4 linked regions of the Notamacropus eugenii genome follow. The protein of the gene in region 1 purifies or fractionates together with the protein of each later gene. This does not show direct contact. Links are inferred from orthologs where the notes say so. Each region holds a gene or a part of one and is shown in the gene's direction. Other genes may lie near its edges. The genes, in order: tubulin alpha-1A chain, HAX1, dnaJ homolog subfamily A member 1 and DNAJB11.

Region 1 (7,661 bases):
ATGCAACATGACTAATGTGAAAATGTATTTAATAGGAATGTACGTATAGAATCTATATAAAACTGTATGCCATCTCAGGGATGGAGTGGGGAGGGAGGGGGAAAAGAGGGGAAGGGAGAGAAAAAAATCTAAGATATATGGAAGTGATTGTAGAACACTAAAAACAAATAAAATAATTTAATTTTAAAAAAAGCTTAACCAGGAGACTCAATAATATTAAAACAAAGCCATTTACTGAGATGGCATTGTAAAAACAGTAGCTGTGAAACACTGCCCTCACAAATCAGGGTCATAGCAAAGGGCTATAATACCATGCATATCCTTTGACCCAGCAATACCACTGCTAGGTCTGTATCCCACAGAGATCATAAAAAAGGGAAAAGGACCCACATGTACAAAAATATTTTGGAAATTGAAGGGATGCCCATCATTTGGGGAATGGCTGAACAAGTTGTGGTATATGAATGTAATGGAATAGTATTGTTGCGTAAGAAATGGTGAGCAGGCAGACTTCAGAGAGGCCTGGAAAGACTTATATGAAGTGATGCTGAGTGAAGTGAGCAGAACCAGAACATTGTACATAGCAACAGCAACATTTTTCGATGACCAACTTTGACAGACTTAGCTCTTCACAGCAATACAATGATCCAACACAATTCCAAAAGATTCATGATGGAAAATGCTATCCACATCTAGAGAGAACTCTGGAGTCTGAATGCAAGCATATTATTTTCACTTTTTTGGGGGGGAGGTGTTTTTTCTTTCTCATAGCTTTTTCCTTTCTGTTCTGACTCTTCTTTCACAACATGACTAATATGGAAATATGTTAAGCATGATTATACATGTACAACTATATCAGATTGCTTACTATCTTGGGAAAGAGGGAGGGAGAAAAATTTGCAACTCAAAATTTTATAAAAAAATGAATGTTGAAAACTATCTTTATATGTAATTGGAAAAAATAAAATACTGTTAAGGAGAAAAAACCAAATTGGGGGAATATTGTGGGCACACACAAAGAGAACCTTAACAGAGAGGCATACAGAGAATACATGTGACCAAGACAACTCATGCTTCTAATACTGCAGGACCCTAACATCATTCCTTTTCTCATGATACTCTTACATTGTCCCACCCTGGGCATGGTGTTTCTGCAGGGCATGTTGCTTTGCTTGGTTCTTGGTTCTCTGGGCCTATTCCCTGCTGTGTGTCTGTGTGCTACTAAGCAAACAGCTCTGCTGTAAGAGATTTTTGTCAGTGGGAGTGGGGAGAGACATCCTCTCCTTCCTATCAAGAGGTAGATCTTTCTTCCATGGTTGCTCTCTTTCCAAATGCCACAGCCCACACTCATCAGAGTTGACACCTACCTTGACTCATTTCTTAGTGTAATTTGATTTTTAAAAGTTGGAGAGGGAGCATGGCCATTCATTCTGCCAGCCAATGCCTAGCTCCACTCTAATTTCATTGAGCTTGAAGGAAAGAGACTCACATTTATTAAGTACCTACTGTGTGCCAAACTCTGTAGAACCCTCCCAGGGAGACTGAGGACTGCTTCCCCAGGAATGAGGGCAGTGAGCTATGTGTCACATGTGGGTTGCTGAGGGATAGAATAGTTTCCAAGTTGTTTCCTACCAGAACTACCAAGTTATGCTTCAAGAATATGGCAATGCAAAAAAAATGGTGGAATCAAATACTTATTGAGCACTACCTATGCCTAGCCCTGTGCCTAATGTTTTGCAGATACCTATGCTCAGGGAAGGACCAGACGACCAATTGTTAGTGTAATTTTAGATATACAAGGTGACTCAAATGGGGTGGATGTCTTGTGAATATTGCAATTTTCCATGTTCTTTTCCATTGTTCTTTTTCCATGCCCTGACTGATGAAGGAATCTTTTCAACTTTGCTAGTCATATGTCATATGTAACCCTCCTTTTGGCTACCCCCTCCAACTCATACTCACTGGCTGGGTTGGGGGACGAGAGACCCCCCCCAACTTCAAGGTACTCTGTACATCCACAGTTCTAAAACTATAGATCATAGGCCTATATCACAGATCTAGGTTATGAAATAGAGATATTTCTTTGGATGTCATTTAAGACCTTAATACCTTATTGCCTCCTTGTACCTTATACTCTGTAACTTCATCAGCTAGGCTAGAGGGAAATCAGGGGCCTCATAATCAATTCTCCTCTCACTGTAATATTATAATAAAAATATTTCAATCATTAATAATGTTGTTATAAAAATCAAGTTAAAACTCACAGAGAGAGGTTCCCTCCTGCTTCACTTGTTCTACTTACAAGCATGAACCATAGAATTTAGACAAAGGAACCTCAGAGATGATGCAGTTCAACCTGCAGATAAAGACAATGAGACCAAGAGAATTTAAATTACTAGCCTAAGTTTACATAGGTAGTAGTAGACACTGCCTGTCCTTAAGCAAAAAACAAAATCTGTTAGTGCAAGTTGGAAACTGGCACCAAAAATTACATAAATTTACACAAATATTTTCTTTTCTTTTGCCACAATCTGCACGTTGAATAAGTGTGATGAGGAGAAGCAAATAGAATAGATTAGATAGTTCCCTGCTCTACCATTTAAATATTTAATAGCCACAAGCCTCACTCAAATGGAGCCTCTTCTTGACCTAGATCTTACTGTTACTAATACGCAACAGAAAGTTCATTTACATAAAGTATATAACAGCTCTGAGATAAATTTACAAAGAAGTCATTTCTATGAATTCTCCCTCCTTTTTATTTAGTTCCCTGTAAACTGCACGAAGAACTGGGAAGATAGTATGGTTATTCATTAATCTTTTGTATCACATAACTAAATCAAATTCAGGGCGGTGCCCCTTTATCCAGACAGGAGACTGGAACTGTACGCAATGCAGTAGTTCAATAGCATTGGAATTTGTCACTCTCAGAATTATTCAAAGAAACACCTGAGCCAAAAATTCAGCGAATGTGTATCCTTTAATTTTTATTCTAATTGTCACTTGCATATCTGGGATAATAGGGGATTCTATAGCTTTCCCTCAGTCTTGCCTTTTCACTAAAACCTAGCTAAAGACAAAGAAATGAAACCAAAATTAGATGTTGAAGTTGTTCTTTTTATAGAATCTCAAAGAAACAGATAAAATAAACTTGTAGTGTTTTCCTATATGTAGAGAATTTGACCTGATGAAGAAAATCTGTGAACTACAAACTAGAAAAATAGCTGGTTGCCTTTCTTAGAATACAACCTGCACCAGCTGTCTCTTTTTGGCCCTTCTTTCTTCTCTCTATGCCACACCCTGCTTCCTAGTCCTTGGGGAATGAATGGGGTCTGCAGAACATTGTACATGGTGACTGGAGATCCAATATGTCTCTGACAGAATAAAAAAAAACAGTATCTGCTCAAGAAGAAAGTATGGTGAGTTGAAGTGAATAAAATAACTAACCTCTTTCCTTTTTTATTTTTCATCTGCATTGTCAAAGTAGTACTAGTTTCAACATTAATTCTGCATTAGCAATATTGACAACATGCCCTTTTTACAAAGCCTCCCCAAAAAAGGAACAGCGATCTGATTTCTGAAAAGAAGCAGAGACTGTCTGGGTTATTTATGAGGCTTTTGAGCAATTCAGAGTCTATTGTTCAAAAGCAATATGTACCTATAATACCAATAGCCAACACACATATCCAAGGCACAACACCCCTCCCCCCCATACATAGCTAATTCATAGGAGCTACAAATTTCAGTGTATTGAGATAACTGATTACATAAATTCCAAGTTGTTCGTTCTTGTCTGGTAAAGTATTCTTTTTTCATCCCACCTCTTGTCCTGTATGGTGGTCTCAGTTCTCCAGTACCTATTATTTTCCCAGCAAATAGAAGAATAAACGTTAACTGTCCACACAGGAGAGATGTCATGGCCAATCATTCTTTTATTTTATTTTCTTCAGTGGTGAATCAGAAAAGGTTGATTTCTTTTAAGATGCAATAAAACATACAAAATATGTTCAAACAGAGTGCTGTTAAAGGAACATTTTCTACTTAAGTAGAAACTATTCCCTTTTCTTCCCATTTCAAAATATGTTCAGTAAGCCTAGATCATTCTCTTATAAGACTTTTTTTTTGGTACAGGTTCCTGTGGAGACTTCTTATTTGGTTCTTAGATTAAATTCTTTTTCCATTTATGCTTGTCCATCATTTTCCTTGGTCATAAAACAAGGCTCAGAAATACCTTGGAATGGTTCGGAAATAAATCTGCAATAAATTTACAGTTAGAGATGCAACTTAAAAACAAATAATCTTCTTTCCCCAGGTCCTCTCAAGCTTCATTTCACTTCCTCTCACACTTCATTTTTAAAGCTTACAAAAAGGTTTCAACCTTCACCCTCACCTAATGGCTATTGCAGTTTATTTCCTAAAAGAGGGAAAGAGGCCTGAGGTCACTTTTTTTGGTTGTTCATTATTTTACTTCAACACAGACATTCTGCTTTTTAAGTAAAGAACTAATCCTCCTACAAAGGTGTAGTTTTGTGGTTTAATCAGTATAAACTCATCCAACCACAGTTTTCTTTTTTTCCCCTTCTTCCACCCCCACCCCTCTCCTGCCACTCCCTATGATGGATGCTTGCTTGGCTAACTGCTTTGCTTGGTCTCTTTGTCTGAAGGATGCAAACAGTCTATGGATGCTAGAGAAAAAGGGGTGGGGAAGAGATTACCTCATCCCATGTCGTGTGCACCAATCACAATTCTCTGGTCTTGGCTTCTCCGGGCAGATTGAGGGGTCTGGACCAACTGGAAAAAGCCCTAGCCCATCCCCATGGTGACAGAATTGTATATAGGGAGCTGTATTGGACCATGTGCAGTAGGTTCTCTTACATCGACCGCCTAAGAGTCGCGCTGTAAGAAGCGTCAACCTCTCTTCTTCTTCTCACCCATCGACAGCAGCCGCAAAGCAGCAATCATGGTAAGGTTCCCGATCTCCTTTCTTATGTCCTCCCTAGGGGATATTAGCGCAGTGAAGGTTGTTGGTGGTGCTGCTTGCGAACCTCAAGTCCATTTTCTTTGCAGCTTCTTAGGACAGCTGCTTTGTTTGTGCCTGTATCAGATTTCTTGCTCTTAAGCCTTAGTACGCAGACATGGCGGTGCGGACCAGAATTGGGGGCAGGCGGCCGAAAAACCAGAAGGAAGAACAAAGGAGAAGGGAGGGGTTTGGGAGTAATGGTTAGCGACATTTCAGTGCCGCATAGGGCTGGTCACTGCAGGCCATCTGTCTGGGATGATGCAATGTCCTGAGGCTGGGAACCGGCGATAGTTCCACTGCCTCATGTATATTTATGTGTTCGTGTTACTTTCAGTCTGGCTGCTCCCATCCCCCTCCCCTTTGACTGCAGTGTTGGGTGGGGCGGGAGTGGGGTGGGGTGCGGGGGATAGGGACTGGGTCATTGGAGAGACTAAGCAAAGAACAGGGTTTATAAAAACCAAACCAATAAAAATGAGAATATGTCACGTAAAAAAAAATACACATTTCCCCCGTAAAGTGCTAGTTTCTGTTAGTACTTTTGGTAGGGGGAGTAAGGGTGGAGTAGAGGGCGGAGTCTCGTCGGGTTTTGTGTGTGTGTCTATCTCCTTGGAATCGCTATGCTCTTGAGCAGGAAATCTTTATTATTATTATTTGTAAGGGGGAAAAATGTCTTTTAATAAATTTGATTAACAATCACATAAAAGTAGGCTTTTTGAATGGCTGAGAGGATTGTGGATTTTCTCCTCCCCACCCAAAGATAAAAAATAAAAAAAGTTGCGAAAGGTCTGGGGAGATAATCTCAGTTCAGCCTGGCAAACCCCAAGGGTTTACTGCCTTGACAACTCACCCAGAGTGAACAAGATGCTCATTTTTCAAGTCAGGGTAAAGTGCGGTCCTTTCAGGACCCTGGGGAGCTGTCCTGTCTCCTCTTCCACCCCAGCAAGAAATCAAGTCAGTGAATAGACAGTAGAATGGGTGCCCTAAAGAAGATCGAGACAAAGAGAACTCTCTAGTGGATGTGATCAGAATATTCCACAGAAGGCAGGATATATTGAAATGCACCAGAAATTTGAAACAAACCAAACCTTGTGAGATCTTGGTGGGTTGTTAGGCTTTTTTTTTGTTCTTTTGATGTTGTTTCAGTTTGGGAAGGATTCAGGAATTCTGATTTTGAAAGGCTGTCTTTTTCTAAGCACTTGCAGAGAAATGTTTGGAAAATATTACATGGAGAAAATTAAAGACAAAACAATAAAATACTGAGGTCGACAAAGAAGAATTACATCTTTCTAGTTTCCTCTTTTCTGGCATATAATATGGAGACCACCTTTTGTTCTGGTGTCACTTCATTGATTCATTTCAATTATTCACACACAGGGTCCCAGAAGGAGTCAGAAGAGAACTGGCAAAATAATATAATGAGATCATGCAGCCAGTTGCTGGAATTAGAGATGGCTATGTTAAATAATACAGTAGGTGCAAAGCAGACACTAGGCAGAAAAAATGCAGCAATGCAGCAAAGGGACAGCTAGCTTTTATTGATTTTAGCTCTGATTGGGTCGAGTGCTCCCAGATTGGGTGTGGTCTCCCCTTTTCAGCAATAAAGCAGATGGCTATATTGAAATATCAAAATCCTGCTAAAATGGGGGTCCTGCTCTTAAGGAGAAAGGGGTAGGGTGGAAACTAAGCTTTCTTAGATCTTGGGAAAATATTTCACTTAAGAAAAATAAAGTGTGGTAGACCAATTATCATGTAATCCACAATTAAACTGAAATCCATAAACCTTTGACTTGTGTTTATTCTCTAAGAAAATATTTCTAACATTTCCACAAATTATTATTTTTATATGATTTATTCACAGTATGAACAATAGATTTGGACAATGTGCTGCTGCAGCCAACACAAAGCATTGTTCAGGCCACGCCCAACTATAACCCTTATAGCAGATTGCTTTCTAATATGTATATAATAAATGTCAATTTCACAGGTGAACTTGAAGAATAGAAATATATTTTTATAAAAATAACAGAAAAGTTATATATCTTAATCAAGTCTAATTTTACAATTTCTTCTAATTTTTTTTTTGTTTTTATGCAGCGTGAGTGCATCTCTATCCATGTTGGCCAAGCTGGTGTCCAGATTGGCAATGCTTGCTGGGAGCTGTACTGCTTGGAACATGGTATCCAGCCTGATGGTCAGATGCCAAGTGACAAGACCATTGGGGGAGGAGATGACTCCTTCAACACCTTCTTCAGTGAAACAGGAGCTGGCAAACATGTCCCCAGAGCAGTGTTTGTAGATCTGGAACCTACTGTCATTGGTATGTTTAATTACAATTCCCTAAATCCTCTTGAAATTTGAAACTGTCAGTGTCAATTTATAATGAACCAATCCTAAAATTAAACTTTTATTTTGTGTAATTCCATTTGTCTGAGATGAGACTATTTATAGGCTTCTTTTCAGTTTCTGACCATGTAAAATCTTGAGGAAAACTTTTAAAATGTAACAAATATCTCCTTTTGATTGTTGACCATTTGTCTTTACCTTAGCAGTTAGTAAGAGAAGACAGAAAGACTCTTACCTTGGTGATTTTACACCTTTTTAATTTTCTTTCTTTCTGTCTTTCAGATGAAGTTCGCACTGG
Region 2 (6,881 bases), on another chromosome or scaffold:
TGCACATCCTGACCCCCCATCAGCAGCCACACTCCCAGATCCTCCATCACCATCTGCAGCAGGATGGCCAGGTAACACACCGTTCCCCTCTTGTCTTTCTTCCCCCACTGATCCTTTTCCCTACCACTCCTTAAAGCTGCCTCCCCCTTCCCTCTTCCCTTCCCTTTCCCCATCTATCCCCAGCGCCGGCCATGGGCACACAACACACACAGACACAAGCGTACACGACACAAGCGGCCGGCAAGGGAGTTGACAGAGAGGGGGCCAGGTTGGGGAGCTTTTTGCTCAGCCCGATAGGTACCTGGAGGGGGTTTGAGTCCCCTCCCTGTTGTGGCACACTTCATCCCCTATATTTTCCCAATAGCCCTGGACCATGCCCCACCCCTCCCCAATCCTGCCACTATAGCTTTCCCTTCTAACCATGGATTTCTATTGTCAAAGTTTGTCCCTTTATTTTCCATATATCCTGGTTCTGCCTCAGCTACCATATTTGCAGATGATTCTCTGTTGCCAGCGCCAGCAGGAGGAGCAGGTAATGAAACTCTCTGAATGATATAATTGTACCTACCCCCTGCCAGTCCCAAACCCCACATGCCACAGCCCTGGGGAAATCAAGGAGAAGAAAGATTGCGCGGCCACAAATCGGGATACACAGACACACATAGACACACTCACACACTTTGCTGGGCTCTCCGGCCTCCCCTTCCCTTCTCCTCCTCTCCTTTTCTCTCTTCCCAACTGTAGAAGGCACTTGGCTACTAGAGTGGATAGGGTTCTTGGGAAAGCATCTGAATCTTGGAAGCCTTAGACAAGTCTCCCCTCTCTACCCTGCTCAGTATATAGGGGTCCAGTGATATGATGGGGGGTGGAAGGGGTGTTATGGAACCCATTCTTTTAGTGCCCTATCTCCACAGCAGAAAGTAGTGCTCCCTTGTTTCTAAGGCAGTGCAAATAAGGAGTCACAGGGATCAAAATCAGTTTAACCCAGCTCTTTTGACCACTCATCTGAGAATCTTTTTCCAGATGAGTGGCCTTTTTGGTGAAGTGGAGGGTTAAGATGAAGAATGAGCAGAAACTGACTTAGTCCCTTAGATGAGCTCTGAAGGTATCTTGCCCTCTGCATTTTCTTGTCTTGAAATCAGAATTATGCTATTGCTGACCGAAGAGGGACTAGAACTTCCAAGGGTTCCATCGATTATGCAGACAACAACTTCTTTGGATTAAGGGCTTAAGGGAAAGTGTAGCCTTTGAGTGGTCTTTTGGCAGGAGGAGAAATGGAGGAACATGACAGTTCCCAGGCCTTCCCACCCAAAGGTCCCTGCTAATTGGCCTCCTTTCTCCTCCCTGTCCTCCCTCCCTCCCCCCCCAACCCCAACATCCCTTCCCCTGCAGACGGGCAGCGGGCAACGTAGCCAGACCAGCTCCATCCCGCAGAAGCCCCAGAGCAGCAAGTCTGCCTACAACAGCTACAGCTGGGGGGCCAACTGAGGCCCTGGCCCTCTTCACCTCCTTGGCCCCCCTACCTGCCGAGAGGGCCTCAGCCTGGCACCTAAGGAAACAGCTACAACACAAAAGCACGTGGAGTGGAGGGTCCTGCTGCCCCCCCGCAGCCTGCCCCAGGCCTCAGCTTCACTTCTGAAGGCCCTTTTCTTTCCTCTCCTACCTATCCTCTTGTATGTAATATAGGATTTGTATTTTTTTCCTTTCTCTTTTTTCTTCTCTCCCCACACTACCCCCGCATTCAAGATTATGAAACTCTTTGCTGTGGGCTCTGGCCTTCCTCTTCCTCTTCCTGCTCACCCTGGTGGTGGGAAGTGGCTGGGGGAGAGGACTCCAGATAGATATCATCAGCCTAACAGCCCTGTCTCCCTTTTTATTATTAGGAAAACAAAACAAAAAAAGTCATGAATATGAACAGATTTGTCAGATGAATTAGTTGAAGTGGTTTTTTTTTTTGTACTGTGTCCTCAAATTTAATGGATTAATGTGTCTTGTATATATAAAAAGAAAACCTCTACCTTCAGCCTCTGCCCATTCTTGCTTCGTCTAGGATGTCCTCAGTCTCCCTGATGACCAGCTGGGTGAATAAGTATTACTGTACCAACTGGGCCTCTACTAGCAGGCTCCGAAGGCAGTGGAATAAAATGAAATCTTCGCCCTTTAACAACTCCTAACCATGATGTGCCGGTGTCCCCTTCTTCCTGACACTGAGTCATTCGGCTCAATTCTCAGAAGCACTTCACCTTTAGTGTTAAACTAGGAAGTGAGAAGGGCAGTGGGGAGAAACTGGGTTGGAAACAATGTTTTCGCACAGTAAAGCAGTGGAACATGGGCTGATCTAAACATATTACTTGGGAAGCACCCAGGAGTGGGGTACACAACACTGGCAGAATCAGTTTGTGATTTTCTGGGAAGGGTCTTGTTTAGGTAGAAAGGAGTGGAAATACAGAGTACACTTTGGGCGGGGTGAACAATAAATCCATCCGACCCCTCCCCCTAGCCACCGCAACTCCAGCTTCCCTTTCCATCTCACCATCGTTCCCCCTTACTTCCACATCTGTGCTACCCTCGGGGCCCACGGAAAGCTAACCCCCTTGTGGCTACAAAATTTAATTAGGGAGGAGGATGGAGGAAGTCTGTCTTCGTGTCTCCATCTGCCTTGGTAAACACAGAATGCACCTTGAAGACATCTTGTCCATCTTGCTTTTAGACGTATCAGCCTGGCAAGAATCAATTTCAGAACGTCAGAGCCGACAGGCACCCTGGAGACCGTCACCTCGATCTCGAGGGTTTTACCCCGTGCTCCAACGTGGCCTGTCCTGTTCTGATTCAGCCTCTGCCAACCCCCAGAGCTGTTCTCTCGGCCCCACTGATGAGGCTTCCCTGCGCCTTCCAGCAGGAACTGTTGCCCTGTTTGTCCCAAGGGAAATCTGGGTTCGGCCCGCGTATCCTGGAGAGCTTTCGGGCTGCCAGAGCGGGCGGGGGTGGATGGAGCAGGGCGCCTCTAGCAGCTTTGTGCCCGAGGCCCTGCACTGTCTGGCTTAGGTTTCCTGACCAGACCGATCCCCAGCCCTCTTCCTTCCTGCCCGAGCTCTCAGCAACTCCAACCCGAGGGGTCCTGGGTTTCCTGTTGCACCGGCTACTCTGGCCTCCCCTCACACAACGCAGGCTTTCTGGGCTCTGTAGCATGGTGGGGCCGGGAGCATCAATCTAAAGGGGCAGGGTTGGGGGGCAGGAGCTGGGCTGCAGGACCTCCCCGGGAGCAGCCGGAGGGCAGGATCCGGAGATTCTGCTTCCACAGCCACCTGTCTCACGAAGCCCCCGGGGACCGAACCACGGATCTCCGCGGGAGTAAAACCGCTTCCTCCTCCACTTCGACCCGGATGTGCCCCTCCTCCGGCCCTCCTACAGTTCAGCCCGCTCCTTGGTCCTGCCCCCGCCGGCATCGCCGCTCCCTCCTTCCCACGAGCGGGCTCTTACGTTCGTTTTACGACAGTGTGACTACTTTTCCGTCAGTGTCGCAACTACCCTAGTAGCGCAGTCGGTCCGTCTGCCCTCCTCGCTTTCCGGCAGTACGGTCGTACTGCTCTCTCGCTTTTCGGCAGTGTGGCCGCATCGAAACCTCCCCTCTCCCTCGCCCTCTGCCCCCACAGTCCTAAGATAAGATCACTTTCCGGCAGTGTGGTGGATCCCCGCCGTCTGGTGCCCTTCCGGGCCTTGGGGTGCGGGCGGGTGGAGGGTTCGAGTCCCGCCTGAGGGATGAGCCTGTTCGACCTTTTCCGGGGCTTTTTCGGATTCTCGGGGCCTCAGAGGTGAGAGTGGGGCCCGGACGGTTAAAAAAATGGGGGGAGCCTTCGGAGGGGGACCCCGGCCCCTGACATCTCCCTCCTTCGCCCCCTGACTGTACGGTGCACCCGTCCAAACTGTCGCAACAGGTGGCGGGGGTGAGGAGAGACAGGGGAAGGGCTGTGTGTATGTCTAGATGTCAACAGTCTTCGCTCGCATGTTCACACGCACACACACGCACACACACACGCACACACACACGCCCCAAACCCAGCCTCCCCCGGGCTCCGGCCCGCTTAGGTGCCCTTTCGGTGTCCACGTCCTTGTGCTTCTCTCTCTGCCTCCCAGACCCAGGGACCCCTTCTTTGGAGGCATGACTAGAGAAGAGGATGAGGAGGACGAGGAGGACGAAGGAGGGGGCGGCGCGTGGGGCTCCAGGTTCGGCGGCCCTGGGGCCCCCGAGGACTTCACGTTTGGCTTTAGTTTCGGGCCTGGAGATGAGATGCGATTCCACGATAACTTTGGCTTTGATGAGCTGATTCGAGATTTCAACCGCATTTTCGGAGACATGGGGGCCTGGACCCTGCCCTCCCGCGCCCCCGGTGCGTGAAGCCCCGCACGCTGGGAGGCAGGAGACACGCTTCCTGCCCCCCCCCCCCCCCCCCCCCCCGGGCCCTGACGTGCCTTTGCCCTTTTGCAGAGCTCCCAGGCCCGGAGCGCCCAGACGGGAGGCGGAGGGAGGGCGAGACCATCCGGGACTCGATGCTCAAGTACCCAGATAGTCACCAGGCTAGGATTTTCAGCCGGGACTCGGAGAGCGGGCCAGGGCGTCCATCTCCCAAAGCGGGCCCGGACTGGGACTCCAAGAGGCCACTCCGTGGGGTGAGGCCCGTTCCCCTGGAAGAGCCACCAAACCTCGGGGATGTGGGAGAAATCCGGGGGACGCAGTTCCTCAGTGCAGGGAGCTCTTAGTCTAATGAGGAGACAGCGCACAGCTTCCAGGACGGATGGTCCAGCCCGGCTGCAAACGTAAGGGCATTAGTGCCGGGGCGCCAGGAGGCCAGACAGGAGCTGAGCTTGGCAGGGTGGAGAGTGATGAGCCTCGGGGAGGAACCCCCAGAAGGCAGAGAGGCCTCCGAGGCCTCCAGTCTGCAGACAAAGGGATGGGCCTTGTGCTTTGTCAAGGCCACAGGACGCGAGGGAGCAGAGCCAGACTTCAAACCCAGGTCCCCTGCTTTCACGTCCATTGCCCTTGTCACCATACACAGGGGGCCCCAAGGTAGCGAGGGTAGTTCAGGAAGCGGGGTGGGGCAGAGGATGGAGTTAGGGAGGTGACCAGAAGGGACCCCTTTCATCAGCTGTGGTTTCTTTTGCAGTTTGATGACATGTGGCCAGTGACTCCTGATGCTACAACCAGAGAGGACAAGGGTATGTGCCAGGGAAGGGGCAGGGCCACAAGGGGTCCTTGATTACCTTCTCAGACCCTTGCGCTCAAGTTCACTTCTTATCTCTGAACATTGCCAGCTTGCTTTCTGAGTATCTGATACCCCTCCACGACTTTTTTTAATGCCTCATCTCTTCTCACCCCCCCCTCCCCCCAAACCAGATCTTGATTCCCGGGTCTCACAGGAGGGCCTGGGTCAAGTCCTAGAGCCCCAGCCTAAATCATACTTCAGAAGCGTTTCCGTTACCAAAATAACTGGACCAGATGGGGTGAGCTAGATGGGGTGGGTTGGGGGTGGGAGGATCATGAAGGGCTGGGGTCCATGGAATATGTCATCTGTTCTGATCCTGAATATGTGGGATAACTGTTCCCACAGGTGGTAGAGGAGCGGCGCACCGTCATAGATAGTGAGGGCCACAAAGAAACCACAGTAACTCGTCGAGAAGCAGATGGCAGTTCTAGAGATGGTGAGTTGAAGAGAGAGGCAATGGTGAGACCATCCCTGAGCTACAGAGGTGAAAGGCCCTTGAAGGAGAAGCTGAGTTCTAATTCTCTTCCGTTTGCTCTCCTTAGTTCCAGTCTACACTATATCAGGCTATATCCTGTTCCCCTTTACCCTCTTGACCTCTCAATTAAATCCACTTAACATACCTTTATTAAATACCAATTACTGTGTTAAACCCTGGGGAGGTAAAGACAAAAATAAAACTATTCTGCCCTTAAGAGAGTTACATTCTAATTGGGGTAACCACATGTACACAGATAACTAAATAAAAGCACCCAGAGTTATTTCCTCAGAGAGAGAACTCAACCCAGCAAGGGGATCAACCCATGCAAAAGGACTGGAACTGGGGGGATGAAAGTTATTTTCCAGCAAACAGGCCAGTGCATCTAGAATTCAGGATCCTCAATCTGACACACTTCTGGTTCATTCCTTCCTGCCTGGATATTTAATTCTCCTCTAGATTCAGGTACCCCACAACATCCAGAGTTGGGGGACAGCTCCTCCATCCTGAATTCATTCCTAAGACGATGGTTCCGGTCTTGGTAGCCCAAGATGACTTCATGGAGGACTGCATCCCTCCCCTCCTTGGCCTGCTCATTACCATCTAGGGTTCCTGACATCACCAGCTGGCTCAGCTGATCTTCCTGCCACAATGAGGGTATGGGGGAGGAGGGGTAGGAAATGTGACAGGTAAAGAAAGAGGTACTCTTCATTTCCTCTCCCCCTTGTCACCGCCCAAATAAAATCTTTATTTATGCTACTGCCTCAGTCTCTTGGTGTGTCCAGCTCCCTGTAGGGCCCATCTGGGCCTTTTGATTCTCTTTGATCTGCCCCCACCTCAGAATGAATGAGAATCAAGTATAAATATTCTTGTATTCCTGTACTTGAATCAAGTATTAATGTTCCTAGTGAGGAACATTCCTCACTAAGAAATAAAGTTACTAGCATAAAAGTTTTTTTTAAATCACAGCAGTTCTAACCTAGTACATTTAGTAAAAAGTAATGGACGTTATCAAATGCTGGCTATTTGAGAGGGCCTGCAGAGGAGACCAGGGACTTAAAGAGAGGTTAAGGAGGCAGTTTATTCAATCTTTTCTGTTTCAGTGTTCACATAGGATCATAGGCTCAGAGGGCTTTGGAGGTCAT
Region 3 (7,707 bases), about 92 Mb from region 1:
AGCTTTTTACCCAGTTTACAAGACCTCTGACGTTTAAAATAGGAGTTAGTGGAGAATGCTGAGGAAGGAAGAGAAAAATCCATTTTGGCCAAGCTTTGGAGCTGTTTGAGCAAAGAGACCACATTACCACAGTGGAAGGCTGTCAGGGAAGGTATTGCCTCCGGAATATTCAGGAAGAAAAAATAGCATAAACGTGCAGCACCATTGCCGTAAAAGAGATCCAAGAAGGATGTTGGGGAGCCCAAGGGATGGGAACAGTTTCACACAACGCTAGAGGAAGCAGCAGGTTGCAGAGGACTAGTAAGCCATACACACGAGTCCCTCTCACCTTCCTTTTCTTCTCCTCTGTGTTAGATTTCTATGCTCTATTCACTACTGAAAGTATTCACTACCTGTTTTCCTTTCTCAGGGAGGAGAAAAATGAAGGGGGAAAGCCAATTCTGTTCTCTATAACCTGCTATGCAGGGACTGGCATTCCAATGAACTGTTCCTCAAATAATTATTGTCTTTTTGTTGCTTACAAATGTATTACTCCTGATATTTAAAAAAAAAATGGTAATCACTATCACTGACTTATTTAATGATGGAGAGTTTGGGAGGGATTTTTGCCCTTAAAGAGACAGGAGACTTTTTTCTCTTTCAGTTAACTTGAGATGGGAGAAGATGAAACCTTGAATTCCCATGGGAGAGAAAAAAAGCATTATCATCCCCTCAATCTAGTCAGTCAGTCAACTAGCGAGAGAAATCATTGGGGTATATGTTGTTACAACTGGGACCATCAATATTACTGTACATGAACCTTGTGTTTTACATGTATCTTGCAGCTAGCCAAGATCATATCAATGGCCTCCTGACTTTGGTCCTTAGCCTTCTCCAGAGCTTTCTCCTGCTGCTTGGCTCAGCCAATCCAACCCAGGCCAAGACCTCACCAACCACTCACCAACTTTCTTGGCTTCTAGAACCTTTTCTAGCACTATGCTACTAGATAAGATCCCCTCAACCTCCAGTACCCTCAAGGCACTTCTCCAGCATGCTGCCAATACACTAACCCTATTCCTTAACCCCAACTGCCTGCTTGCTTGCTTTCTCCCACACACCTCAACATAAGCCAATGTCTTACTTCATATTCACCACACCTCTTTGCACTATGCTCTCTGAAATGCTTGCTCCCTTTTTAACAGTCTTCCTTTCATATAAAACTCTTTCTTACTCCTTCCATCTGGTACTGAGACCTGGCTTCCACTTGCTAGCTCTGCTTCCTTCTACAACCTTTACAATATTAGTTGCATTTCACTCATACCTCTGACTCACTGGCTATGGTAGCCGTTGGAATGAGTGCCTCTTGCTCCTCATGACCAGTTCTAGACTCAATTTCTATCACTATGACTCAGCAGGATCTCCTCCTTTGAGGATCATGATTTCCAAATTTATCCCCTGATCCAGATCCTGATGGCTGTTATCTAATGCACTGTAGGACATTATCCTTCTTTACTCAATAAATTCAGTTCATGGTTCATAGTCTTTTTCCACATCCTAACTCTTACATTCTCATTAAGGGACTTCAATATGTATATTGATGCTCCCTCAAATATCCTGACTTCTATTTCAGTTCGTATGACTTATTCCTTCCATTCTTCCTAAGCTGCACACACAAAAAAGTGATCATATCCTTGATCTTGCCATCACCCACAAGTGTTCCACTTCAGAGTTCCTTAATTTCCAAAGTTTAGTTCCAAAATTAAGTTCCAAAATTTCTCTGATCAAAATCCATTATACTTTATCTTTCCCTATGTATTACTATGTTTTTCATCCTCACTATAACCTCCATTCCCTCCATCCCTAAGTTCTTTCACAGATTATTACCTTTTCACCAGCTACTTTCTCCTGTTTTCATTATCTAAACCCTTAGTGAACAATTCAGCTCTATACTCTTGAATCCTTTGCTCCTTGTCCTACCATTGACAACACCTTGCCGAAACTCAACTTTCAGTCACTCCTACATTTTTCCTCCTTCCCTCCTATTCATGTACTGTTAACTAGAACTGCAGGAAATCCTAAGACCACATTAGTTGCAATAGTTATATAATCTCAAATAGACCCTCACTGCAGCAAGGTAATCATTCTACTTCTTCCTAGTCAACTCTCCATCTCATTTTCCACAGCAGGTATACCTAACCCTCTCATATCTCCCAGAGCCTTCCTCCATCCCCACCTTCCCTACTGAGGATCTCAACTCCTACATTACTGAAAAAATTGAGGTTATTCAACAAGAGTGGCTTTTCTTCAACTCTCATCTCACTTCATCTTGCCCTATTATTTCTTCCTTCAACAAATCTACGATGATGGGGTAGCTCTTCAGTTTGTCAAGAATAGTACCTCTATGTGCAAGGCATTTTCGAGGAATGGGAGAAAGGGAGGAGAGACATAGGGATAATAGCATGAGGGGATGGTAAAAATCTAGTGAGACTTGTATGACTTTGTCATCATGCCCTAAGAGAGGTGGGTGCCATATCTCCCAGAAGTTGTCACATCACTGTTGCCCTAGGAAGGAAGGAGTTCTGTAGTTCAGTAATTTCTCAGATTTAGCTTCCAGGAAGACAACTGATCAGGGCAGATAATATTTGGATATAGTTCTGGTTGACCCTCTCTCACCTTTCTTTATTCCATCCCCAGCTGAGAGTCCTTACTCTTAAAAGTTCTTGCCCCCTCAAGAGGCTCCATTTATCCTGGGAAAATGGTTCAGTTCTCCCTCAATTGGCAAGTCTCTTTTTCCTAGGGATAGTTCAGACAAATCATTCTTGGAAAGTTCCTGGGAGATGGAGTCATGTTGCTGGGAAGTGTCTTTCTTTTGAACCATATGAAGACGAATGTGTGATTTGCCTGGAAGAAAGGGCATCCTTGAGTTAGTAGCAAACCTGAATTCCTGGAATGGCAAGAAGGGAGTCTTTATCCGGCCATCAGTGAAGAAAAGAGCAGCTCTTCAGCGCAGGCCCCCAAAGGTGCACAGATTTGGCATTCTCCCTCCTTGCCCTACAACGGGTTCCCGGGAAGAAGATGCCATAGTGATCTGGGGAATGGAGAAGGTGGTGGTAGTAACAAAGATGATCTCATTATCAACACTAGCACTGAGTTTGCAATGGAGACTTCGCTACCTTGCTGCAAATGACCCTCACCTGTGAGAAGGATCAGTGACTGTTAGAAATACCACCTATGCAGTGGCCTAGATGGTCCTGGTAATTTTCCTGTGCATGCTTCACACTGGGCAATCACCTTCCCCACAGGGGATTATTAAAGTTTGGGACTTAGTCTTCACTTACACAGAACTGTTTGCCATTTTTTTCTTTTTTAGTGTTTATTTACTTGTACAAGGTCCTCCTCCAGTAACTTTCCTACCCCAGGCCTCTCACACCCTGAAGATCAGTCTGTCTAGTAGGAGCCCTAGTCATGTAAGTGGCCTGATAGCCCCGAACTGCCTTGTAGTTTAGACTTTATTTTTCATTAAAAGCATCCTTAAAATTAATTGGCCCGGGAAGACTCAGCTCAATTTCCTCAGCCCCCTCAGCTAAATCCTTGACTTATTCTTGATGGCCTCAAAAGGAGACAGGTGTCAGGCTTGACCAGCACACCAAAGGTGGGCAACAAATACATCAGCAGGGAAGCTGTCCTTAGTGGCTTTTTAAATGTATTTTTTTCTTTCAAATGTCCAAAAGGCTTTTTGGTATAAGGAAAAATGAACTGGCCTGGGAATCCTTGGGACCTGTCTGGAATCTCTGCCACCCCCGGGTGCTCAGGCCCCGGGACATCTTCCAAGATTTTAAAATTACAAATAGGGTGGAGATAATTTCTTTCTTTCTGAACATATTTTAATTCAGCCCATTAAATACTTCCCGATGACATTAAAACTCTTTTAACATTTAAAAAAATTGAGTTTCCAATTCTCCCATGAGAAGACAAGCAGTAAGATATCGATTACCCAAGTGAAGTCACTCCAAACCTAGTTGGAGAGAAGGCCACAAACCCGGAGGCCCATCCCAGTTAATCCGAAATTCCCGGGTGCTTTGCCCCATTAGGTGTTCCTTGTTTACTGAAATGTGCTTGCCAAGTCTCCCTTTTTCAAATTTATACCATTTTCTAACAGGCAGAAATGTTGGGATCGCCCTCAACATTAATCTACTGACTTAAAGTGAATGACAATCCTCACTAAGCCCCGGGGACCCGGAGGCTTTGGCCTGATAAAATCGGGAGAAACGGGGAAACCGGCGGAAGGATCCGGGAGCCATTACTCGATTTCGGGCGCGGGGCCACGGGGGCCATCGCCGGCCTGGGCCGGGGCCTCCTTAGGCCCACCAGCCCTAGCTTGGCTCCCCGGGCCCCGGGAGGTGGGGGAGGGGACGGGGCCGAGAACCTTCGGTCTCCCGGGGCCCTGGGCCTCTCCCTTCCCCCGCCTCCCCATCGCCAGCCTGGGCCGGGGCCTCCTTAGGCCCACCAGCCCTAGCTTGGCTCCCCGGGCCCCGGGAGGTGGGGGAGGGGACGGGGCCGAGAACCTTCGCTCTCCCCGGGTCCTAGGCCTCTCCTTTCCCCCGCCTCCCCAGCGCCAGCGCCGAACAGCCTCCATCATCCACCTCCACCTTCTCCCCCGTTAGAATATTCCGGAGTCCCGCCTCCGCCCCCCGTTACCCCAGTAACCGCCGCAGGGAGGGGGAGAAGCGGGAGGGGGCGGGGCGGGGCGGGACTTCCGGCGAGTGACGCACCTCCGCTCGGCTACAAAACTCGCCGGACGCGGCCGCGAGCGGAACTTTCCAGAAAACTCGGCGAGAGGCGGAGGGCAGCAGCTGCCGCTGCCCGAGCTCCGCGCGCAAGAACTCGCGCCCCCTCCCCCATCTTGTCTTCCTTCCACTCCATCCCCAAACATCCCCACCGGCTCCCGGGCGGTCCCCTCTCACCCCACCCCGGACGTGGGCATCGACACCGGGCGTACGGCGAGCGTCGCTCCCCGGTAAGTCCATCCCCACCCCCCACCTCGGCTCTCCCGCCAGAGCCGGGAAGGCCGTTGGCGCCTCTCCCGGGGTGCGGGGGCCGGGGCCCCGGATTTCCGAGGGGTGTTGCCCCCGCTCTGCAGCCTGGGCGCCGAACAATGGGCCTGGCGTTCTCCCTGGCCTCCTCGCCACCTCCCCGCCCCCCGCGATGTCGGTAGCTTCCCCCCATCCTCTTCTCTCCTTTTTCCCCTCCCCCCACTCCGGTCTCTTCGGTTCTTGGGGGGGGCGCACCTATTTGCGGGGGTACGGGGGCGCTGTGTGCGCGCTCTTGTCTGCGTGCGCGTCCCCGCTCCCCCGCAACCTCCCCCGAAGGAGCCCTGGATGGTGAGTGTACGTGTGCGCGCGCGCGCGTGGGTACAGGTACGCCGCACACACACGCGAGCTCCATCCCCGAGCGCCCATAGAGGTCGTGACCTCGAGTCGGGGCCGCGAGCCTCCTGTGGGGGTGCCGAGCGTGGCGGGGGGAGGCAGCGCCCACGTAGCGGGTCAGGAGACCGTGATCTCGGGGGGGGGCGCCCCGGAAAGGGAGCCTTGGAAGGAGAGGTGGGGGGCCGAGGCGAAGGCGGCCCCGGTGGGTCGGGGGACGAGGATGACCTGCCAGACGTTTAACTGGGGGCCTCACCTCGTGGTGGGGAGCCTGGCCCCGGGGCGGGGCGTCCCGGGGAGGTGGGAGGTGGGGGACCGGCCTCCGAGGGCGCAGCAGGGGATCCGGGGAAGCGCCTCCGGGCGGGGGCTTGTGGCGAGCCCTCCACCGGCCTGGGCCCCCGGCTCTTTGTCTTGTAGCCGGGTAGGAGGCGGCCTTGGGGAGAGGCAGGAGGGCTGGGACGGTCCCTAAAGGCCCCCAGGTGTGCCCAGGTGTTAGGGTTATGAAACGTGACCCAGTTCTTGGTTCAAAGGCTTGGGTAAAACCTTCAGAAATACGTAATCGATCAGCTGGCATCAATCGATTCTAAGTGCCTTCAGGTTGTGGTTTTAAGTGCAGACTGTAAAAATGGTGAAGGAGACGACTTACTACGACGTCCTGGGGGTGAAGCCCAACGCCTCCCAGGAGGAGCTGAAGAAGGCGTACCGAAAGCTGGCCCTGAAGTATCACCCGGACAAGAACCCGAACGAGGGAGAGAAGGCGAGTGGTGCTTCCTTTTTAAAGAGTCTTAGTGGGGACCGAAAGTAGGAGGAAGAGGAATCCTCTGATGACCGCTGTCCTGTCTGGTCTGCTTTGGGTTTGTGTTCTGTCTGGTTTGAGGGTCCGTGTCAGTGGGTTGACGAATCTGTGTGAAATGTGACGTGACCAGAACCTAGGTCCTGGCTGCACCTTAGAAGAACCTGCTTTACACTGTGGCCTCTTGTTACAGTTCAAGCAGATCTCTCAAGCTTACGAAGTGCTTTCTGATGCCAAGAAGAGAGACCTGTATGACAAAGGGGGAGAGCAGGCCATCAAAGAGGGCGGCTCCGGGGGTGGCTTCGGCTCTCCCATGGACATCTTTGACATGTTTTTTGGAGGAGGTGGGAGAATGCAGCGCGAACGGAGAGGTAAGCAGGGGCTTCAGAGAGTCTGCGATGGCAGTGAAACAATGGCTTTGTTGTCCTTGGAGTTCCTTAAAACGGGAACACTTTCACGGGATAGGCACCTTTCGCCTGTCCTGTACATATCTGTAGAGGTTTAAAACAAAACAAAACAACCCCCCCCCCCCCCCAGTGTTAATTAATCCTCAGCGTCCAGTTTTAATTTATTTGGATTTGGGGGGAATGCCTGATGTTACTTGACATAAATGACCCCTTTTTTGTTGGCTTCATGTCATCTGCAGTTTGAAAAGCATGCCATCTCTAAGCCATTGACAACATTCTGAGTAGAACTAGGTAAAAAGAAAATGTTGTGGTGCTTACTCAACTAGGAATTCCTTCCAGTTGGACATTGATCTATTTATTAATCACTATTCTGAGTCTGGTTGTTGAGGTTTTTTGTGAGCTTTTGCTGTCACCTCCCCATTGTGGCCATTATCCCATTTATTAATTTTTTTAACAGAAAAAACCCCCTCAAAATATTGTAGTCCACCAAAACAAATATCTAGTACCGTCCTTGTGCAAAACGTGGTCGTGTGCATCTGTATGTCTGTAGCTGCATTTTTTATCATCTGCAGCAGGAGAGGTGTTTCATCCTCAGTCTTCTGGACTTGGGGAGCTTATCATTCTTTGTATTGATCAGAGTTCTCAAAATCTTGATTATTTTTCTCTCTGAGTGTTGTAACTGTTGTATCATCAAATTTATTTCTGTTTAGTTTACTCTGAATTAGTTCATGGTGGTCTTTATAGTTTCTTCCCAAGCTATAGCATATATGTGTGTGTGTACACACATACATGTGTGTATATATGTATATATACATACCTATACATTACATAAAATTTCATTATTTCTTATATCACAGTAATATTCCATTATATTCACGTCTTCTTATTTAGCTCTAATCACCGAGTGTAGATTTTACCCACATATTTACCATGTAGCTCATCTCACAATTAGTCAACAATGAAATATTGATTAACTTTGCCAGATACCTTCTGAAATTCAGAAATAACAATAGGTAAGGATAATTCCATACACATCACCTTGGTAGAAATCTATTAACCCTCCTTTGAAAAAGATAGTTGTCATCTGATGTAATTTTTGGATAAA
Region 4 (7,801 bases), on another chromosome or scaffold:
CACTCTCATTTTCCCCTCCAGAGTTTTCTTCATTTCAGTTTCCCAGTCAAAATTTGAAGTTGGCATCTTGTTCTTTTTTTTGTAGCTCATCACAAGGTAGCAATAGTTCTTTAGTTGACTCTCCAATGTCACTTATTTTACATAAGGCACCTTGAAAAAATAGGGCCACAGAGTAAATTGTGGAAGTTAGGAAACATGAAATCTAAGCCCAGCTTGGTCACTACCTGACTGGGTGGCCTCAGACAAGTTATTTTACCTGTCTGATTTTTTTTTATTGATCACCAAAGAGCTGACCCACAGAATCTCAAAGGTAGCTTCAACCTGACATTTTAGGCAATTTGGGTCACTTCATGAGGACAACCAAACATTTCTGGCTTTTGTTGTTTTTAAGTTTATCCACATGACTGTGTGATATGCTCCAGACTGAGAGGACAGAGCTGCCTCAGGGTCAGAAAGATCTGACCTGACCTGATCTGGGGATTGAAGCTTCTGGTACATATTTGCTCCTACAGGGAAATCCACCTCTTAGTACTCCAGGAAGCTCTTACAGACAAAAGCTGCCTAAAAATTTCCTCTATCAATAAAACCAAAGCCTGGAGCTGGCCCTGCTCCCAAGAATTCTGCATTTAAAGGAATTTAATTTGAAAAATTAACGAGATTTTCAAACTACTCCTATACAGAAAGAATAATTACAACTTCTGGGCTAAGAAGCTGTAAGTATGTGGAAGGTGGATTTTTGTTAGTTCTTCTTAAGATACTAGTTCCCAGGATCATGGCCATAATAATCTCTAGTTCCCAGGCTCGTGGCTTGTCAATATCTCCACCACACTTGCACAGCATTATATAATGATAAAATACATAAACATTTGTACTTAAAGTTATAAATATCCATTGCGACTGCGCAATAAGATATAAAAATGAGATAATGAAAACTCGGGAGGTTATTGCTGGCAAACTGCCTTCTTTGTCTGTTACCCTATAAATCAAGGGGGCATTGGTCAGTAAGCGGAGAATCTGACAATGCAATGCTGTGCTTAGAGGGGAATGCACAAGCTGGAATGCTGTACGCGCATGATGGCCCGCCCATCAAGGATTAGGGGGAATCTTCAAGGGGAATACATGTGTCCTTCCTTGACCAGCCCCCATCAAGGGTCAGGGGATGCTAGGAGCTGGAACTTCCATTCTCACCGGTCCCTGAGAGAAGAGTTGTAGGGAAGCTATAGGAGCTGGTGCTTCCATTATCAGCAATCCTTAGACCAGAATAAAGTAATATTTAATCTCTTATTATGTCTCTGTTCCTGTCTTACTGTCTGTCTGAATCAAGAGTGAATGTGCTAGAAGCCCTCCTATGTGTGCTCCCACCTTACAATTAGTGTAGTGTGTTGCCCAGCACCCCCCACTCCAAACTGTTTTCCTTCTCCATGGGGATCCCTGCTCTGCTGCTGCTGGAGAAGGTGATTACAATGATGTGGGATGGGCTAAGGTTAATTCTGAACCAGAGACGCTGGGGTCCTCACTGCCAACTGCTCTGATGGCCTCCCCAACCTATACACTGCAATTGTAGAAAAGATAGTTTCTCTCCTGTTTGAACCCCAAAATACTGGGCCCAAAGGCCTACCTTACTCCTCTGCTTCTCCATATCCTCCTCACACGTGCAGCTAGACATCAGGTCAGCCCATTCCAGACGCTCCTCTGGGGTCCTTGGCACCAGACTATCGAAGATCTCAAAGTAAAGCCAAGCAATGTCTTTGGCTAACTGTAGCTTCCCACAGGCAATGTGCCTCCATGTGGGCCAGAAGAGGCGTGGGTAACCTCCCTCCCTGGCTCGGGTTCGAACATATGTGGATATCTTTCTGAGATAATGAAGGCTGAATTTGGCTGGAGGAGGGAGAGGCAAAGTGCCCACTATAAACGGTTCTGTTCTCACCCACAGGTGGACAGCTGACTGCTCCATTTTAACTCAGACACCATCTGTGTCTCAAGAGGCTCCTTTGCAAATCTAGGAAACAAAGTTTCTGTGTAAATTAACTGGAAACAAAAACATACATACATTTATCATTGAGGCGCTGACAACATAGTGAACTATTTTTAAATGAAGTAGCACAGAAAGGCCGGCAGTTTGGCTATACTGAATTACAGGCAGCTGGGACTACTTAACAAAACAATTCCTACCTGTATGGTCCATGCTAGCCGTTTGTGCCTATTTGGTCAAGCCATCCTCTATCACAAGGTGCCCAGCCCACAAGAAACCCAGTGTGTTTGGCTGAAATTAATGCAATGATTTTATAAGATAAAAGAATTAAAACTAGAAGGAAACTCAGTCGGGGAGTCTACTCCCTTCATCTTATAAGTAAGGGATTTGCCTAAGGTCACAGAGGTATTATAAAGTCCTGTTGGGCTGGAGGAAGTCATCAGATCATGGAAATGGTTTAAAAGCAGTTTGTGTGCTATAGACCTCAGAGTCTTCTATGATCATACTCTTGTAAGATGATCTCACAAAGAAGAATGAAAGATTATGGGGACTAAAGCCAGCCTGAAGAGAGTTTGCCAGGAGCAGAGGAGGCAGTTACCTCCAGGGCATTAAAGGTGACAAAGCCCAGAAGACAAACGGAAAAGCTGCCAAAGTTTTCACAATCAAATTTTCTCTCCGTCTGCAACAGTGGAGTCAGTGTGCCTGGACTCTGACAGTGACCCTGGCTGGGCTTTTAGGGTTGTAGAAGAAGGCTAGATTCAGGTAAGAGTGCAAGAAGGAGGCACACACCAAAGCAAGCACCATTAGGAGGGTGATGAGGGATTTCCCTTCAAGGAGGGGAAATATCAATGGTGGGAAACAAAATCTCAGCCCCTATCAATACCAAACACAGGTGAGCAAGAGAACATTGGTGGCTGCTGCCCACCCACCCAGGTACCAACTTTACAACTTCCCTGAGAATCAGCCCCAAAGGCATCATTGGCATCCTCAGGATCGAGGGGATTAGCAGCAAACAGGCAGCCTCTGACAACCAGTGTTTTTTTCCATTGGACCACATCTTTACCACTACACAAATGACTGCATCTAAGGTGTTTGTTGGCTTTTAAAAAGCCTGTGATTTGGCAGAAGAAAATGCCACTTTGAACAAGGCTCTCTCCTACATGGTGTCTCCCATCCAAACAGTCGGTCAATAAGCACATATCAAACATCTCCTACGTGCTGGGCACCGTGCTAAGGGTTGGGGATACAAAAAGTCCTTCAAGAGTCTTTGAAAGACACAAGAGATGACCATCTTCAGTGACCCAAGGACCAGAGACACCAAGTGAGGCATGCAGCAGGGCGGTGCAGGCTGGATGGCAGCACTGACCACTACAATAGAAAAGCTTCACAAGGTGAAGCTCACACAGTTGGAATGAATTCTACTTCTTAAGCACACATCAACCAGGCCATTGTGCTGAAATCTTTCCCCTCTGGAATCTTTGGAAAACAAACCACCTGAACAACAAAGAGGCTAAAGGAAACCGTCTGTCACCTGAGAATGGAACGAGGGAACCAGACATGTTTATTCTGGAGAAGAAAAGACACAGAGGGAACATGACAATTGTCTGTATATACTCGAAAGGTTGTCATGAGGAAAAGGGATGAAACTGGTTGTGTTTCATTCCTGAGGGCACAATTTGGATCAATTGATGAGAGCAGAAACAGATTTCAGGGTCAATACAAGTTTCCTGCTTGGTGTCCCCTGGCTTCCCGCATATGCCCCCCTGAATGAGAAGTTCGACTCCAAACTTTCTCCTTTGGTTTGGTTTTGAAATTATCCTGGGAGGGGCAGGATCGTGCCTTTTAAGGCTGAAGGGGCAAGCTGTACAATTGGAGACAGCTTCCAATCCCTCCCCCATCTCCCCAGGGCCTCTGGGATCCTCTGGACCCCTGGGATTCCCACCCGAGGCAAGTCCAGGGGCACAACTTGGGGGGGTCAGGGAGACAGACTTGGGTCCCATGTTAGGGGGGGCGCTCCCCAACCGGACCCTCCCTGCTCCCCGCTCGAGAAGGCCACATGACCATCCCCCAACTTGTCACCTCCAGAGGGAAGCCCACCGAGCCCCCTCCCCCCCAAAGGAGGCCGTGGGATCACCTCCAGGAAGACGGCACTACCACCCCAATTGGGGGGCTGCATGACCCCCCACTTTACAGGAGAAGCTGTGATGCCCCAGCAAATGAGACCATAGGACCCCCTCCTCAAATGGGGATAATCTGAGACCCTCCCTCTCCAATGGGGAGAAACTTGGATCCCCCTCAAAAGGGGAGGCCGGGGGGCCCCCTAAAATTGGACGGCATGGGATGACCCCCCACAACTGAGGGAGAACCTGAGATCCCCCTCAAATGGGGAGCTCTGGAGCCCGCCTCTCTTAAAAGGGGGGGTATCATGGGTCAACCTGGGACTGCCCTCCGAAGGCGTAATGACCCCCACCCTCCCAGACCACCGGCCCTGGACGTTACCTGCAGGAACCGCCCGAGGCAGAGCAGGGGGCGGGACGAGAGGGACTGCCCCGACATCCCCAGCGCCTGCGCAGAAGCTTCCTCTGCGGAGGCTGAGGGGAGCCACGGCGCAGGCGCGCAGGCACAGCAGGAGACACTCCAGTCCGCCGGCAGATCTGGAGCGGCCTCGGAAGGCTCCTGCGAGACGAATTCGGCCCGGTCTGCCGCGAGATCACGTGGTGCTTCTCGGCTCTCACGTTGACAATGCCCCCCTCGGAAGTCTGTATCAGTGGTGAGGGCTCAGTAAAGATTCAGTTGCAGTCCAGCCCTGACTTTGAAAAAACCTAACCTTCCTGTGTCCCAGTCTAGGACTGCCGTAAAACTCCCGATGATTGGTTCGGGATTAGGTAAGACGAGCCATCGCTTTTAGGGATTGGCAAAGCGAGACAGGAGGCGGGGCTCACGAAAAGCGCTACTGCCCGCAATTGGCCAGCAGTCCGTCGTTTTGCTCCAATCCGAGAGCCGCGTATCTCTATGGGAAAAAGGAGGGGGCGCTGCGACGCCGGTGACGCTGCCGCCTGTGATTGGTCGACCCTAGGATGCCGCTCTCCGGGTCCGTCCCTCCCGGGAACGCGAGCTAGGCGTTGAAGTGTCCGTCGGTGATTGGTCGTTGCGCCGGCACGCGCTGATGCCCTGGTCACTGATTGGCCTGGCGGTGCATCGGCCCCGCCTCCCGCGGGGAGCGGGGACTCCCGGGATAGGGGAAGAAGGTGCGGGCTGTCGCTGAGGAGACTGACCATGGCCCCGCATAGGCTGGGCGGCTTGTGCCTCCTGCTGCTCTACATGCTCGGAGCCGTGATGGCGGGGTGAGGAGAGACAGCCTCGGCGCGGAGGGCATGAGGAGGCGGGGCAGGAAGGATCGGGGGGGTTGAGGGGCTGAGGGAGGGAAGCGCTGCCGGTGATTGGGGGTGATGGGGGAGGGGACGAGGGGGTCTGAGGACTGAGGGGGGGCAGGGCTGTGATGGGGAAGGAGTTGGGGGCCGTGTGAGGGAGAGACTGAGGGGGCAGGGGTGGAGGGGCTCGGAGCTTTGCTGGGGGCAGCTGAGGACTGAGAGGTCAGGGTTCTCTGTGGTGGGGGAGGGGATGAGGGGGCAGCGTCCAGGACTGGGGGGCAGGGCTGCCGGTGCCAGCAGGAAGGGAGGGGGCTGGGCTCCCCGTCCTGGCTAGAGAGGAATGGAAGGAGGGACCTGGGGGGCGCTGGGGGAGAGGTGAGGGAGCCCGTCCTGGGGGGTCACATCCGGTACTGAGGTTGGCCTGAGGCAGGATTGAGCAGGTTGAGTGGATGAGGGAGACGGGACTGGAAGGTGAGGAAAGTGGGGGCGTCCTGGGGGGCAGAGTAGGGGGGCCGTGCTGAGAGAGGTGAGGGGGGTAGGACTGCCTGGGGGGGACCATGTTTAGAGAGGTGAGGGGGGTAGGACTGCCTGGGGGGGCCATGTTTAGAGAGGTGAGGGGAGTAGGACTGCCTGGGGGGTGCCGTGCTGAGGGAGGTGAGGGGGGTAGGACTGCCTGGGGGAGGTAGAGTGGGGGGACTGTGCTAAGAGAGGTGAGAGGGGTAGGACTGCCTGGGGGAGGTAGAGTGGGGGGACTGTGCTAAGAGAGGTGGGGGGGGTAGGACTGCCTGGGGGAGGTAGAGTGGGGGGACTGTGCTAAGAGAGGTGGGGGGGGTAGGACTGCCTGGGGGAGGTGGAGTGGGGGGACCGTGCTAAGAGAGGTGGGGGGGGTAGGACTGCCTGGGGAGGGCCATGTTTAGAGAGGTGAGGGGAGTAGGACTGCCTGTGGGAGGTAGAGTGGGGTGACTGTGCTAAGAGAGGTGAGGGGGGTAGGACTGCCTGGGGGAGGTAGAGTGGGGGGACTGTGCTAAGAGAGGTGGGGGGGGGTAGGACTGTCTGGGGTGCATAATAGGGGGACCATGCTAAGAGAGAGCTGAGGGGGGTAGGACTGTCTGGGGTGGGGCAGGGCTCTTATGAGGAGGGGTCCGTGGCAGGTGCATTACTAGAAATGTCTGGAGATAGACTTGTAGGAGCCGTGGTCATTACCTGTCAGGTGGGAACAGAAGCGTGTTTTGCTTGGCCCCGAAGGACTGAATTAGGAGCCAGCAGGCAGAAGTGGCAAAGTGGCTACTTGAGCCCTGAGGAAAAGGGAAAAAACAAGAATAAAAACTGCTAATGACTAAAGCTATCCGAAAGTGAGACGGAGGCCTCCAGACGTTATGGACTGCAGGCAGTAAGGTCTTCAAGAAAAAGCTCAGTAACCAGATTTATAAGTTAATGTTGCAAGAGAGCAGGGTCTTATTCAGGTTAAGGTTAGAGTCCTTCCAACTCCTCTTCTGTGGTTCTGGGGTAGGAGGGAGCATGACCAGTGGAAGACTGAGGAGGTGAAAAGGAGCTGAGCTGAGAAATTGATGGGCGAGTCACAGGTCTGTGCTCCCCTTTACTGGGGGACTGGCCTATGGACAGACTGACTAGTGTGGGAGAAGGGAGTTGATGTCATGTTTCCCCTCTGGAGGGAATGTCTTTTTAAAAAGCTGAGGAGTGACTGTCAAGCTGAGTGGTGTGTAACGGAGACACAAACTACACTGAGACAAAGGAAGGGAGAACCTTTGGGAACCATTGTCCTTCCCAAACCCAATGGAGTTTATTGGACATCATCAGCATCTTGAGTTCCTTGTGTCCCTGTCTAGGCCACCTCTGAGTGCCAGTGTGAAGTAGTGCAGAGAGCACAGTTGGAGGCAGAAGACCTGAGTTCTAGTCCTTGTTCCATCATTTATTAGCTGTGTGACCTTTTAGATGTTACCCTCCCTTTATCTGTAGAATGAGGATAATAAGGTGTCTGAATGAAGGCAGGGGACCAGACAATATGATCTAGTAAGGTGCTTACCGCTTTAGGATTCTATGGGAGGTCATAGGTAGTCATTTCTTTAGTACCATGAGATGATTTCCTCCAAAGTGTTCTATTTTTTCAACTCAACCAGCACAGAAGAAGTGTATCTACTATGTGAAAAGTACTCTGCTAGGCAGTGGGAATTAAAAAAAACAAACCCAAAACTCTGTTCCCAAGGATTTTACATTCTGAGGGGTTAAAAATAAATGTAGAGAGAAGCCAAACTGAATAATTTGAGAAAGAAGAGAATATGAAAAACTGAAGAACACTAGGAAAGGCGTCTGGTTGGAGATGGTGCCTGAGCACCACTAAGTCTTCCTTATAAGTAAATATAATCTCACCACTACTTAGAAATAAAGCATTAATGTGTCTCAAGGTTTTTAAGTGTCATTGAATTGTGGAAGTCTGTGT

What was found.
Region 2: the proteins of tubulin alpha-1A chain (region 1) and HAX1 purify together in Homo sapiens (affinity purification with mass spectrometry; 3 studies listed by BioGRID and IntAct, with this or other methods). This does not show direct contact. The link is inferred for Notamacropus eugenii from reciprocal best matches to the Homo sapiens genes TUBA1A and HAX1.
Region 3: the proteins of tubulin alpha-1A chain (region 1) and dnaJ homolog subfamily A member 1 purify together in Homo sapiens (affinity purification with mass spectrometry; 3 studies listed by BioGRID and IntAct, with this or other methods). This does not show direct contact. The link is inferred for Notamacropus eugenii from reciprocal best matches to the Homo sapiens genes TUBA1A and DNAJA1.
Region 4: the proteins of tubulin alpha-1A chain (region 1) and DNAJB11 purify together in Homo sapiens (affinity purification with mass spectrometry; 3 studies listed by BioGRID and IntAct, counting the BioPlex papers as one, with this or other methods). This does not show direct contact. The link is inferred for Notamacropus eugenii from reciprocal best matches to the Homo sapiens genes TUBA1A and DNAJB11.

What each region holds. Positions count from the first base shown.
Region 1 is NC_092874.1:221,086,163-221,093,823, reverse strand, and holds the start of tubulin alpha-1A chain, read left to right. Parts: upstream 1-4,658; 5' UTR 4,659-4,960; coding exon 4,961-4,963; intron 4,964-7,114; coding exon 7,115-7,337; intron 7,338-7,645; coding exon 7,646-7,661. UniProt on the Homo sapiens protein: Tubulin is the major constituent of microtubules, a cylinder consisting of laterally associated linear protofilaments composed of alpha- and beta-tubulin heterodimers.
Region 2 is NC_092873.1:378,176,427-378,183,307, forward strand, and holds HAX1 (HCLS1-associated protein X-1), read left to right. Parts: upstream 1-3,876; 5' UTR 3,877-3,982; coding exon 3,983-4,388; intron 4,389-4,486; coding exon 4,487-4,668; exon of another isoform or gene 4,669-4,815; intron 4,816-5,162; coding exon 5,163-5,214; intron 5,215-5,392; coding exon 5,393-5,499; intron 5,500-5,606; coding exon 5,607-5,697; intron 5,698-6,195; coding exon 6,196-6,281; 3' UTR 6,282-6,495; downstream 6,496-6,881. Other genes in the region: UBAP2L (ubiquitin-associated protein 2-like), read left to right, coding at 1-71, 482-532, 1,393-1,488. UniProt on the Homo sapiens protein: Recruits the Arp2/3 complex to the cell cortex and regulates reorganization of the cortical actin cytoskeleton via its interaction with KCNC3 and the Arp2/3 complex. Slows down the rate of inactivation of KCNC3 channels. Promotes GNA13-mediated cell migration.
Region 3 is NC_092874.1:312,841,992-312,849,698, reverse strand, and holds the start of dnaJ homolog subfamily A member 1, read left to right. Parts: upstream 1-4,706; 5' UTR 4,707-4,996; intron 4,997-5,932; exon of another isoform or gene 5,933-6,018; 5' UTR 6,019-6,027; coding exon 6,028-6,159; intron 6,160-6,388; coding exon 6,389-6,566; intron 6,567-7,707.
Region 4 is NC_092873.1:55,002,563-55,010,363, reverse strand, and holds the start of DNAJB11 (dnaJ homolog subfamily B member 11), read left to right. Parts: upstream 1-4,801; 5' UTR 4,802-5,248; coding exon 5,249-5,316; intron 5,317-7,801. Other genes in the region: TBCCD1 (TBCC domain-containing protein 1), read right to left, coding at 1,619-1,954. UniProt on the Homo sapiens protein: As a co-chaperone for HSPA5 it is required for proper folding, trafficking or degradation of proteins.